2 linked regions of the Saccharomyces cerevisiae S288C genome follow. Changing the gene in region 1 together with any one later gene gives a genetic interaction. Each region holds a gene or a part of one and is shown on either strand. Other genes may lie near its edges.

Region 1 (8,116 bases):
GAAATACAATATCAGCGACTCTAGGCCGCACGTTCAGCAATTTCAAAATGCCATCAGGAAGGTGAGGCAAGTGCAAAGAATGAAAAAACAAAGAGGATTTGCCTTTTCACAGGCTGAAGAGGGTGGGCAAGAAAAAATTGTCAGAATGTATGATACTACTCAAAAGAGAGGTAAGTACGGTGAATTACAAGATGCTTCGGCGAACCCCTTTAATGACAATAATGGACTGGGAAGTAACGACTTTGAAAGTGCAGAACCGTTCATTGAAAATCCATTTGCTGATGGTAATCAAAATTCAAATAGATTCAGTTCTTCGAGAGATGATATTTCATTTGATATATGAGGCACAGAAACAAAGAGCAGAAGACAAAAAATACAAAAATAAAAATAAGATAAAAAGAAAAGTCATTATTACCATTACTGAAATATGTACATTTACCATAAAATATATCCGTTATATAGAAGTTATAATATTAAGCCATCACTTTGTTATCGGTTTTTCATTCCTCCTGGGGTTGCTTCGACTGGGTACGTACCTTATGTCTTCTAGGCCTATGCAACACATGTACATCAATAATTTCACCTAAATTAATAACAGGCTTGTACATAAATTCTATTACAGGTTTTATATCCTCTTCCACCGGTGTATCCAGGGCATCAGCGTCCCCATTTTCTATTAACAAATTAGGTACCTGGGGCTGTTTTTCTATTTTCCTAGCTAATAACGTTTTGGGTCCTGCATTTAATGAGAAACCGTTTAATGTTAATGTTTGAAACATCAAATAGTGCCTTAAATTGGCGATCTTCTTAATGCTGTTGATGAATATGTCGAGCTCCCACTTATGTTTGTAGTGCAACTTGTATTTGAATTTAGCCAGCCTTGTCACAGACTGGATGTGAGAAGTTACCGCATTATCCGTATCGGCACCTGCAAAAAGTTTGGGCAGAACGTTGATTTGGAAATCAGTAGAATGACCAACTCTTATTTTGCTGAGTACGGAACTGATGATTTCCGGGGACGCTAGTTCGTAAACAATCAATAACAGGTCCTCCTTGATCTCGTCACAAAGATTCTTCTTATCTTGTTGCGATAAATATATTCTTGTATTTGGTGATTTTAAGCAGATTATGGAGTTATTTGATAATAATGGTGCTTCAAATATAGTGGCATTCGACTTATTGCTAGTCTTATCATTGGTTTGAAGGATCTGCTTTCTATTGACAAATATACGTAATGGCAAAACCATGTCCCTGGCTATCTTTACCGTTGCTATACTTGGTGCCATTTTTCACGGTTACTGTGAAGTCCAATATACTCAATCTTCTTGTATTCTTCCCTTTCAGGCCTGTCCTTTTCTATTTCATTGCCCTTTTTTCCACTCATCTTTCCACTTGATTAAAAATACCAGAAGAAGCACATTTTTACATTTATACGTTACATATGAAAAAATCACAGGATCATTTTTTGATATACAAATACTATTTTTTATTTATGCGATACTAGATGCTTGAAGGTATAGCATATGACGATGATGATAATTAAAAAGACAATATCAAGGGCCTCGTTGCGGTATTTAGATGCGAATGTTACATTTTTTTTGGATATCATTAAGGAATTCTCCAAAGACAATAAACTTTCCATTTTCCTCATTACTTCCTTCCTAGAGGCCAACCTGTCTTTGCAAGAAGCCATTCTTTTCTCTAAATCTTGTAATTTTGCCACGTTTGTATTTATTGTATCACTCAAACGTGCCTCAAATGATTCGGGGTTTTCCTTGTCAAAATCCTGTTTCAAATTCATTAAATAATCCTCTTCAACAAGCTCTTTCCATCCAATGGTCCTGGATCTTAAGTCCCTTAGCTCTTTAACGATCTTGTCAAAATTTGCAATGTTTTTAACAAGGTCATTTTCATCTTTCAGAACCTCATCTTTCAAACTGTGCTTTAGTAAAGCTTCTGTCTGCTGTAACTGCAATCCGATATGACGCTGATAGTAGTCTAATTCATCTGAATTTAGCGAAAGATTCGAACTACTATATGTGATATTTCCAGGAGGTTCAAGAGGATCAACAGCCACTGACTGTGAGAATGACGTCGATGATGAAGACGATGAAGAAGAAGACAACGAAGATGAGGACGACTGCGAAAACGATGCATTGCAGGCGTCTTTTGGCGAAAGCCCAATGGGATTAGCAACGGCAGGAGAGGATTCGGAAGCTACAGAGGGCGGTCTTGAGGGCGAAACATGTTTCTTTGGTGAGCTTTCAAGATCATGGTAAAGCAAGCTCTGTAACGATATATCTGTCTGCGTGCTAGAACTCCCGTCTGATGAATGCGAATGATGTGTGGGTCGCTTGGAAGGCTTAGATATAACATTGGGCAATATTGGATCGAAAGCCGGCGCCAGTGCAGACGAATCCTTAGATTGCCCAGACGAAGAAGGCTCCATGGATTTCAAAAACCGGTGAACCAACCTTTTCTTGTCCTTCACGAAGGACCGGGAAGGTGATTTAAGACCGTACTTGTCGTTGTCTTTGTAATGGCGATGGGCTGGGTGCTGCTGGGCTTGCAACATCTTAAATGAGGGAAAATGGTCTTTGGCAGAGTATCCACCATCGAGAGGCTTTGATTCTACACTATGCTGCGGGAATGGTCCTTTAAAGGTGGCGACTACGTTAAATGGGTGTTTTGGCGAGAGTCCAGAAGACTTCATCGTACTGAGACTTCGTACTTTATCTGGTGCTGCGTTGAACATACAATCGCTGAACATTGCGGTCGAGGCAGACGTGTAATCCGGAATAACTTGACGATGCAGTTTATGACGAGCATGATGGTGCTCCATTTCATATTTCTGCTCTTTTTCGTGTAATGCAGCCAAATTACTGTGAGAGGCTTGCCATCCAACGTTTGGCTTAGTTTCAACAGTAGATTTGTGGCCAACATCTGGTGTTCCAGCGTCAATCATTTGCTTTACATCTTCCAGGGGTCTCTTTTCTACACCATCTTTGCTATTGCGATCTGTACCATCTATTCCGCTGCCTTTAGAAGAGCTCTTTATTTGAGCATTTTGCATTGTACCTGGACAACTACTGGACTACGTAAAAAACTGCCATCAATTTGTGTTATTCTTACTCTTTGAGACAATGTTTCATAACAATAGAACAATAGCTTTTTGACCTTCCCCTTATTTTATTTCAAAAGGTAACAGTTAGGGCTATTCTTAAACTTTCTTTAGGGTACACAATGAAAACATCAAGATTGAGTTAAAACCCTTAAAATAAAACTAGGTCTTTAAGAAACTCACTCTCCGGGTTATCCATAGAATGTTTACCATTCTTTAGGGTTCTGAACTAATGCGAAAAAAAAAAAAGAAAAGACTGAAAAATTCGAAAATATCTCGAAGTTTAGCAGTAGTAGATGAGAATAGGGTCTCTTTTATCGAAAACCTGCAATTGTAATACAACCTTTTTTTGAAAGTCAGCCTTTATTCTGATTCTGCATACTCAATTCCTCAATTCCTACGGAGTTATCACCTTTTTTTTTACCTTCTCTTCTTTTCTTATTGTTCTAGCTGAAAACATTGTTACCAGTTTGGCGAGACAATTTATTTTCAATACGATACCCTTTTGTTCTTCTTTTTATAATTCAATCTAATTCTAAAACACAAAAAAACAAAAAAAATCCTATAACCAGTTCTCCCGCATGTCATTTGAAGTAGGAACTAAGTGTTGGTACCCTCACAAAGAACAAGGCTGGATAGGCGGCGAAGTCACCAAGAATGACTTCTTTGAAGGAACGTTCCACTTAGAGTTGAAATTGGAGGATGGAGAAACTGTATCCATTGAAACAAATAGCTTCGAAAATGATGATGATCATCCCACGCTACCTGTACTACGAAACCCACCTATTTTAGAGTCTACTGATGACTTAACCACCCTATCATATCTGAACGAACCGGCAGTGCTGCATGCCATAAAAAAAAGATACATGAATGGACAGATATATACTTACTCTGGTATTGTCCTTATTGCCGCTAATCCCTTTGATAAAGTCGACCATTTGTACTCTCGCGAGATGATACAGAATTATTCTAGTAAGCGTAAAGATGAGCTGGAGCCGCACCTTTTTGCCATAGCAGAGGAGGCGTACAGGTTCATGGTCCATGAAAAGGCTAACCAGACTGTTGTAGTCAGTGGTGAATCCGGTGCTGGTAAGACCGTCTCTGCTAAATACATTATGAGATACTTTGCCTCAGTCCAAGAAAGCAACAATCGTGAAGGGGAAGTGGAAATGTCTCAAATCGAGAGCCAAATTTTAGCTACTAACCCGATCATGGAAGCCTTTGGTAACGCCAAAACTACCAGAAATGATAATTCCTCTCGTTTCGGCAAATATCTGCAAATTTTATTTGATGAGAATACTACCATCAGGGGGTCCAAAATTAGAACCTATCTCTTGGAAAAATCCAGGTTAGTTTATCAGCCAGAGACAGAAAGAAATTACCATATTTTTTACCAAATTTTGGAAGGATTGCCAGAACCGGTAAAACAAGAACTGCATTTGTCATCTCCCAAGGACTACCATTATACTAACCAAGGTGGACAGCCGAACATAGCTGGTATAGATGAAGCTCGAGAATACAAGATAACCACTGATGCCCTGTCATTAGTAGGTATAAACCACGAGACTCAGCTTGGAATTTTCAAAATTCTTGCAGGCTTGCTACATATAGGTAATATCGAGATGAAAATGACTAGAAACGACGCATCACTATCATCGGAAGAGCAAAACCTGCAAATCGCATGTGAATTATTGGGTATTGATCCCTTCAATTTTGCAAAATGGATTGTCAAGAAACAAATCGTCACAAGGTCTGAAAAAATTGTCACTAATTTGAATTACAATCAAGCGCTAATTGCTAGGGACTCTGTGGCGAAATTTATTTATTCCACGCTTTTTGATTGGCTAGTAGACAACATTAACAAGACATTATACGATCCTGAGCTGGATCAACAAGATCATGTCTTTTCCTTTATTGGTATTTTAGATATCTACGGGTTTGAGCATTTTGAGAAAAACTCATTCGAACAATTCTGTATAAACTATGCGAATGAAAAATTACAACAAGAGTTCAACCAGCACGTTTTCAAATTGGAGCAAGAAGAATATGTAAAGGAGGAAATTGAGTGGTCTTTCATTGAGTTCAGCGACAACCAACCTTGCATAGACTTGATTGAGAATAAACTTGGAATACTTTCTCTATTAGATGAAGAAAGTAGATTACCATCAGGCTCAGATGAATCATGGGCCTCAAAACTATATTCTGCCTTTAATAAACCGCCCTCAAATGAAGTTTTTTCGAAGCCAAGATTCGGACAAACGAAGTTTATAGTAAGCCATTATGCTGTTGATGTAGAATATGAAGTTGAAGGGTTTATTGAAAAGAATAGAGACAGCGTTTCCCTAGGTCATCTGGATGTTTTCAAAGCAACGACAAATCCAATTTTCAAACAAATTTTAGACAACAGAGAACTTAGGAGTGACGATGCTCCTGAAGAGCAAAATACTGAAAAAAAGATAATGATCCCAGCAAGATTAAGTCAAAAGAAACCAACCCTGGGATCTATGTTCAAAAAATCGCTCGGGGAATTGATGGCCATCATAAATTCTACTAATGTTCATTATATTCGTTGCATAAAACCAAATTCTGAAAAAAAGCCATGGGAGTTCGATAATTTGATGGTCTTATCGCAATTAAGAGCTTGTGGTGTGCTGGAAACAATCAGGATTTCATGTGCAGGCTTTCCATCAAGATGGACTTTTGACGAATTCGTTCAAAGATATTTCCTCCTGACGGACTACAGCTTATGGAGTGGAATTCTTTATAATCCAGACCTCCCAAAAGAGGCAATCGTCAACTTCTGTCAATCTATTCTAGATGCTACTATCTCTGATTCAGCAAAATACCAAATTGGTAATACCAAAATTTTCTTTAAAGCAGGAATGCTTGCATTTTTGGAAAAGCTAAGGACTAATAAAATGAATGAAATATGCATCATAATACAGAAAAAGATAAGGGCAAGATACTATAGGCTTCAGTATTTGCAGACCATGGAATCAATAAAGAAGTGCCAAAGCCAAATTAGAAGTTTGTTGGTTCGTACAAGGGTCGATCATGAGCTCAAGACAAGAGCTGCCATATTACTACAAACGAACATTAGAGCATTATGGAAACGGGAATACTATAGAGCTGCCATTGGGCAAATAATAAAACTACAATGTACCTGTAAAAGAAAATTGATTTTAGATAGTGTTAACAGGAAATTCATGCTCATGGCGGCAGTAATTATCCAAAGCTACATCAGATCATATGGTCACAAAACAGATTACAGAACATTGAAAAGGAGCTCCATTCTTGTACAAAGCGCCATGAGAATGCAGTTAGCTAGACGAAGGTATATAGTTCTGCAAAAAGAAGTTGAAGAACGGAATATTAGGGCTAGTTACGGGATTGGATTACTGGAGGAAGCTATCGAATTTAAGAACTCTTTCATTTTGAATCTAGAGATGTTAAATGACTCATATACAAGATTAACACAGTTGTTGCAGGGAGATTTGTCAAATATTCCATCTAAGCAAAGGCAAGAGTACGAAACGATAGTAAATGGTTATAATGATAAGATTTCCAAGCTGAAGACGTTACAAGTTGAAATCATGAATACTTTAAACAAGAAGAATGCCTTGAAGGAGAGAAAAAAGAAGCAATCTTCTTTAATACAGTCACATATGCAAAGTTTGGCTGCTATAAAAGGTAACAAACCTTCAAGATTAAGTGATGAAGTCAAATCAATGAAGCAAGAACTAGCGTTTATTGAAAACGTAATAGCACAAGATTTCACCACCACATATTCTGCTAATAAGAATGATAAAGTGAAAGGTTTGGGAATCGCAGGACAACAAGTAAAACCGAAGCTAGTCAATGTAATTCGTAGAGAATCAGGAAATCCTGATCTTCTAGAATTACTAATGGACCTGAATTGTTACACATTAGAAGTCACAGAAGGTTACTTGAAAAAAGTAAATGTTACTGAGGTGAATGGAGACAATGTTCTGGGTCCTATACACGTCATTACTACAGTGGTAAGTAGCTTAGTGAGAAATGGGTTATTGATTCAAAGTAGCAAATTCATCTCGAAAGTCCTATTGACTGTAGAAAGCATTGTTATGAGTCTACCAAAGGACGAAACAATGCTTGGTGGTATCTTTTGGTTAAGTAATCTTTCCAGACTTCCCGCATTTGCTGCAAATCAAAAAACATTATATGAAGCGAATGGTGGTGATGAAAAAGATAAGTTAACACTGATATATTTGAATGATTTGGAGAATGAAACTTTAAAAGTATTCGACAAGATTTATTCCACTTGGTTAGTGAAATTCATGAAGCATGCTTCAGCCCACATCGAGATCTTCGATATGGTTTTAAACGAGAAGCTATTTAAAAATTCTGGTGATGAGAAGTTCGCTAAATTATTCACATTCTTAAATGAATTTGATGCTGTCTTGTGTAAATTTCAAGTTGTTGACTCAATGCATACAAAAATTTTTAACGACACCCTGAAGTATCTGAACGTAATGCTATTTAATGACCTAATAACCAAATGTCCCGCGTTAAATTGGAAGTATGGGTACGAAGTGGATAGAAATATCGAGCGGTTGGTGAGCTGGTTTGAACCAAGAATTGAAGACGTTCGTCCCAATTTGATTCAAATAATTCAGGCTGTCAAGATATTACAGTTGAAGATAAGCAACTTGAACGAGTTCAAGTTACTATTCGATTTCTGGTATGCCTTGAATCCAGCCCAAATACAAGCAATTCTGTTGAAATACAAGCCTGCTAACAAGGGCGAAGCTGGAGTACCGAACGAAATCTTGAATTATTTAGCTAACGTGATCAAAAGAGAAAATCTGTCTTTGCCAGGGAAGATGGAAATTATGCTTTCTGCCCAATTTGACTCTGCTAAAAACCATCTGCGTTATGACACTAGTGCAATAACACAGAACAGCAATACAGAGGGCTTAGCTACTGTCAGTAAAATTATAAAATTAGACAGAAAAT
Region 2 (6,545 bases), on another chromosome or scaffold:
TCCATTAACCTTGGGTACCGCCTCAATAATTTTCGAATCCACTCCTGCCTACCCAGATTATGGTAGATATTGGAGAATTATCCAACGTCACAAGGCTACCCATTTCTATGTGGCTCCAACTGCTTTAAGATTAATCAAACGTGTAGGTGAAGCCGAAATTGCCAAATATGACACTTCCTCATTACGTGTCTTGGGTTCCGTCGGTGAACCAATCTCTCCAGACTTATGGGAATGGTATCATGAAAAAGTGGGTAACAAAAACTGTGTCATTTGTGACACTATGTGGCAAACAGAGTCTGGTTCTCATTTAATTGCTCCTTTGGCAGGTGCTGTCCCAACAAAACCTGGTTCTGCTACCGTGCCATTCTTTGGTATTAACGCTTGTATCATTGACCCTGTTACAGGTGTGGAATTAGAAGGTAATGATGTCGAAGGTGTCCTTGCCGTTAAATCACCATGGCCATCAATGGCTAGATCTGTTTGGAACCACCACGACCGTTACATGGATACTTACTTGAAACCTTATCCTGGTCACTATTTCACAGGTGATGGTGCTGGTAGAGATCATGATGGTTACTACTGGATCAGGGGTAGAGTTGACGACGTTGTAAATGTTTCCGGTCATAGATTATCCACATCAGAAATTGAAGCATCTATCTCAAATCACGAAAACGTCTCGGAAGCTGCTGTTGTCGGTATTCCAGATGAATTGACCGGTCAAACCGTCGTTGCATATGTTTCCCTAAAAGATGGTTATCTACAAAACAACGCTACTGAAGGTGATGCAGAACACATCACACCAGATAATTTACGTAGAGAATTGATCTTACAAGTTAGGGGTGAGATTGGTCCTTTCGCCTCACCAAAAACCATTATTCTAGTTAGAGATCTACCAAGAACAAGGTCAGGAAAGATTATGAGAAGAGTTCTAAGAAAGGTTGCTTCTAACGAAGCCGAACAGCTAGGTGACCTAACTACTTTGGCCAACCCAGAAGTTGTACCTGCCATCATTTCTGCTGTAGAGAACCAATTTTTCTCTCAAAAAAAGAAATAACTTAAATGAGAAAAATTTCGTAATGAGATAAAATTTCGCTCCTTTTCTGTTTTCTATTTTCTATTTTCCCAACTTTTGCTCTATTCAGTTATAAATTACTATTTATCCATCAGTTAAAAAACAAGATCTTTTACTGGTCAGCTAGGAAAGCGAAAATACAAAGACTTTATGCACTTAGTGATATATATGTATAGATATATCCATTTTTACGCACTTATCATATATCTTAGTTATCTAAATACAATCTAGTTATTCGTACACAATCGCCCCTGTTATCCCTATAGTGGGAATAAAGTAATGCACTGTGACGGGGTTCTTCGCCCGGGATAGGGTAAAAGGATATTGCCGTTTCAAGAAACTTCGGGGATAATCGAATAAGATACCGAGAAAGCTATTGTTCGTTGTGCACGTAGGATGTATATTGAACAAGCATGACCAGAATCTGATGCATTACGAGAAGGTTACGGGATGATATCAGACCTCCGAAGTCCATGTTGCAAAATGTGCCGACTTTCCGCGGCGCTATTTGGCACAAATTTCAGGAGAAACATCACTGTCGGTGTTATAGAATTCCATCTATATTGTTTTCCCCGTAGGCATACGTCGAGGAACTACTATATCTTTTTTCACCTTTTGTATATCTGTATTTTTGGGTCAATGTCTGGTACATAAGGTGAGTCATATTTACATCAAAGTGTGTAACGTATAAGAGGTAAAACAAGTTACAGTACTCATATAGTATTTCTTCTATCGGTAATTCTACATGTGTCTGATCAAGGTCTATCATTTTTATATGGTGGAAACGATTTTCTAGTACTACAATAAATGAACCAAGATGTCCCTTTCTCTGGGTGCCGCTATTTACATTGCATTAAAACCTATATTTAAAATTTACACCATTATGCTTGTTGGCTATTTGGTAGCTAAGTTCGATATTGTTTCCATGGAAAATGCGAAAGGTATATCAAATATGGTTGTTAACGCTATTTTGCCTTGTTTGACCTTCAACAAAATTGTGTCCAATATTTCATGGAGGGATATAAAGGAGATTGGAGTGATAATACTTTCAGCTTTTATCTTGTTTGTTTTAGGTGCCACGGGCGCCTTATTTACTACATTTGCTACGACTGTGCCCAAAAAATTCTTCTGGGGGCTCATATTTGCGGGTTTCTTTCCAAATATATCAGATTTACCTATTGCCTATATTCAGAGCATGGGTAACGGCTCCATTTTTACTGCTGAAGAAGCTGATAAAGGTGTTGCTTATTCCTGCATTTTTTTATTTATTCAAAGTTTCCTAATGATGAATTTTGGAATGTGGAGAGTGGTCGGACTTGATTTTAGAGATACAAAAGAACCAGATAGTGAGAATATTACTCCGTCAGTAAGTCCCGCTATCGACGATCGCAAACTTACTGAAATAACAAAGTTACCTAATATCACACGTCCTACAAATGCCTATCAATCGGAAGATGCGAGAAGTAATAGCGATTTGTCTTGTAACTCTATTACTACAAATGAAATGACACCGCAGGCATTCTACGAAGGTTTTACTGGCTACATCAAACCCTATAAAGAATCAAATGGTGCATCCCATAAATTTGAAAGTGACCTTCCGCATGCTGAAATATATAGGGTTTCCTCGACTTATTCAAGCCCAGGCGCATTGGAGTTCTCGCGAATAGATGGCAGTTCCCTCTCATATAGTCGTATATCAAAAAATAGCGATGGCAGAAGTTATAGAAGAAAAAGGAAAGCGGATATGAATGAGTTGATTTCCAAATACAGTGCCGCCGAAAAAATAAGGCAAGGTGAATTAGATTTATCAAGACCACTATCCTTGACTGAAGAAGTTGGAAGCAGGAACGCAAGTATTGGTAATGTGCACACTGGTTATACCGATGAAAGTTCCATCGAAGAAGAAAATTGCACTAATATGGCCACCGACGGGAGGGGTAGCCTCTCCTTCTTTATAGAGAGACACAATCTCAAATGGTTGCAGTACTTTATTATAAATTGCCTCAGGCCAGCATCTCTGGGGGCAATACTAGGAATAATATGTGCATTAATTCCCTGGGTTAAAGCATGCTTCGTAACGACATATGTTCACGTTCATAAGGCGCCTGATGGAGAACCTGTTCTGAATTTTTTAATGGATTTTACAGAGTATATTGGAAATGCATGTGTTCCATTGGGGCTTCTATTACTTGGCGGAACGTTGGCAAGATTAGAAATTAAGTCATTGCCACCTGGATTTATTAAATCCGCCTTATTGATGACATGCTTTCGATTAATTGTCATTCCTATTATTGGCGTCCTATGGGTAAATAAACTATATTCGATCGATTGGCTGGATACGGGCATAGGAAAATTTGACATGATATTAACGTGGTCCATGCCGAGTGCTACTGCTCAAGTATATTTCACAGCATTTTATACGCCAGCATGTGGTGATCACATTCAAATGAACTGTTTGTCCGTCTTATTTGTCATGCAGTATGCGATTCTTTTCATCACTGTGGCGTTTGTTGTTACATATACCTTAAAGGTCGATTTAAAAGTTTGATTATATCCCTAGGCGAATAGGTATATACAAGAGTAGCTTATTATCAACTTATATATTCTGTTTTTTCAAAAGTAGCGATGAATTCCAATCGCGTATTTATTCGTTGTATTTATTTTTTGGGGTAGGGTTGTGGGGGGGGATCCGCGTAAGTATATTTATAACAATTCAATAATAATATTGTAGATTTGAAGAGAATCACACATGTAACAGAAAAGCTGTAATGATATTAAGTCAGAGGAGGATGCTGAGTTCAAAGCAACTAATAGAGAACTTGATAAGATACAAATTTCATAAAACACCATATACTCGGAGCTCAATATGGCCTTTCAAAAGAAATTCGGCGGTAATAATACTATTATTCATTGGAATGAAAGGCGAACTACGAGTGCTTTTAACTAAACGTTCAAGAACATTGAGAAGCTTCTCAGGTGATGTTTCATTTCCTGGAGGTAAAGCTGATTATTTTCAAGAAACCTTTGAAAGCGTAGCCAGAAGAGAAGCTGAAGAGGAGATTGGGTTACCGCATGATCCTGAGGTCTTGCATAAGGAGTTCGGAATGAAATTAGACAATTTGGTCATGGATATGCCATGCTATTTATCAAGAACATTTTTAAGTGTTAAGCCAATGGTCTGTTTTCTTTACAAAGATAAATTAGAAAAACATGAGGATAAATACAAAGTTCCCTTAGATATCCGTAAGTTTTTTGGTAAGCTGAACCCTGGAGAAACATCTTCTTTGTTTTCTGTACCACTCAATGACTTAGTTATACATCTTCTTCCTGAAGCCGATGAGGATGTTAAGAGTTATCAAGCAGAATATTTTGAGCGGAAGGAGTATAAGCTTAATTGGGGTGGAATAAAATGGTTGATTATGCATTATCATTTTCACGTAGCAAATAATAACGAAATGCCATGGTTGCAAACCATAGAGGATTTATCAAGTTCAGACGAAGACGGTGTTGATGGAGGTATTTTCAGATTCAGGGATTTGTGGGGACTCACATGTAAAATATTATTCGACGTTTCATGTATAGCTAATGGACTAATGGACGAAAAGTTAAAAGGAGAACTAGGGCACGAAGATTTGATAGTTGGACTACATGACTATGGTAATCAGATGCAACCGAACGGAAGAAGTGAATGGGAGATAGGAATGATCAACGGCGACAGAAACTTAAAATATAGCGATGTGATACCTGAATACTACATGAAGCACCTGCTGGAGTGCCGCTCGCTTTGGTAAAAAAAACTGTGGTATAATGCGTTGCCTAACAATACTCTCAAGAGATAATCAAGATGAGAGAAAAAGAATCATACTGGATGTCCTTAATCGATAACAAAAAGTTTTTAATGAAGAATGACTAATGATGAAATTGTTATACAAATACAAACAAACTACACGCTTGCACATCTCAGAAGTGAAAAAAAAAAAAAGAAAATTGAAAAGTAAATTAAAAGTCATTTATTTTTTATTGCTTAAATAAAACAAAATGATATGTCATATTCTCGATTGGATGTCAACCCAATTTTATTCTTTGGTTTGCCAGCATGATCATCTTCACTTGCAAATTATATAGTAAATAACCAATTAAAATAATAATAGTAATAGAAACAGAAAGTAGAACACTGTTATTGGATTCTTTCAGTTGGAATTATTCATATATAAGGCTTAAGCCAAAGATGGCAAGTTAGAAACGTCAATGTTACGGTTCTTTTGAACGGTGTTAGCAGAGTTAGTAGCGTTAGCAGTGTTGTTACCCTTTCTAGCGCCTCTACCACCACGACGGTTGTTGAAGTTGTTTCTGCTGTTGTTGTTTCTGTCACCGAAGTTCTTTCTAGTGTTAGATTCAACAAAAGTGGCATCAAATTCCAAGTACTCCTTGGTCTTCAATTGCTTAGATTTGACGTTCTTGACCTTGGTTGCTGGAACGTAAGCTTCCTTTTCAGCAGTTTCAATTCTTTCAGCGTCTAATTCAACCTTCTTAGCTTCTGGGACCTTGTTGAACTGGTTGTTAGCTTGTTGGTTCAAGTAGTCTTGCAAAGACAATTGAGCGGTCTTTGGCTTACCAGCGTCTTCAGCTTCTGCAGCGTCTTCAGCAATTTCAGCAGCAGCATCGGCTTGAGCTTCCTTTTCAGCACTCAATTCCTTCTTGTCATCACCCCAACCTTGGTTAACCTTCTTCTTGGTGTCAGTCTTACCAGTTCTAGAGTGGCGGTCAGTGGCCCTTCTGGTGTTGGACTTCTTGGTGGTGGCAGAGTCAGTGACATCCTTTGATCTGTTGTTTCTTCTACCAGCGGTCTTGTCTCTGATAGCACCCTCGTTACCAGAAGGTCTTGGTCTGTTCTTTCTAGCCTTGGATGGGTCAGCGGATGGAGGTGGGACGTCAGCCTTCTTGGAGGAAGTGTTGCTCTTGACGATTTCCTTTGGTGGCAAAACGACAACGTCAGCGTCTTCGACGTCGTTACCTAACAAATCAAATGGGTTGGACATTGAGAATAAAATGTGTATGCTTTCTTGGTTTATTTCTACTTCACCTCTAAAAGAATACTGTGGGGGGAAGAGAAATTTGCAAAGAAATAACTTCTAATTTAAAACTACGAAGCAGAAAAAAAAATCTTCCACAATAAACCAAGTATACAACTAAAACAAGCGAAGGAAGGAAGAAGAACAAAGGGGATATCGACTCAAAATCAAATATTACAAGGAAAATACCATATAATTTCTCTACTCAGTTAGGGCTTCCTCTACGCAACGATGATATCAAAATTGAAAAAAAAATTTCTTTTTGCGTTGGTGCGAACTTTTGGGAACACTTTCCATTCCAATAATTTCACTTTCCTTTATCTTTCTAAACGGTGATGTTACCCGTCTAAATAACAACATGGTAGCGCCATATGTTATACGGCTACAACTTTGTGTCACGT

What was found. Genes that interact genetically often act in the same process or in processes that back each other up.
Region 2: mutations in SAW1 (region 1) and YLR152C together harm fitness more than expected from each alone (negative genetic interaction), as found in Saccharomyces cerevisiae (2 studies listed by BioGRID).

What each region holds. Positions count from the first base shown.
Region 1 is NC_001133.9:87,857-95,972, reverse strand, and holds SAW1 (DNA-binding protein SAW1), read right to left. Parts: upstream 1,287-8,116; coding exon 501-1,286; downstream 1-500. Other genes in the region: aminophospholipid-translocating P4-type ATPase DRS2, read left to right, coding at 1-343; FRT2 (Frt2p), read right to left, coding at 1,487-3,073; MYO4 (myosin 4), read left to right, coding at 3,703-8,116. UniProt on the Saccharomyces cerevisiae protein: Catalyzes 3'-non-homologous tail removal of RAD1/RAD10-dependent single-strand annealing recombination intermediates. Plays a key role in targeting RAD1/RAD10 complex to 3'-flap cleavage substrate in recombination.
Region 2 is NC_001144.5:440,033-446,577, reverse strand, and holds YLR152C (uncharacterized protein), read left to right. Parts: upstream 1-1,889; coding exon 1,890-3,620; downstream 3,621-6,545. Other genes in the region: acetate--CoA ligase ACS2, read left to right, coding at 1-1,054; PCD1 (8-oxo-dGTP diphosphatase), read left to right, coding at 3,841-4,863; STM1 (Stm1p), read right to left, coding at 5,290-6,111.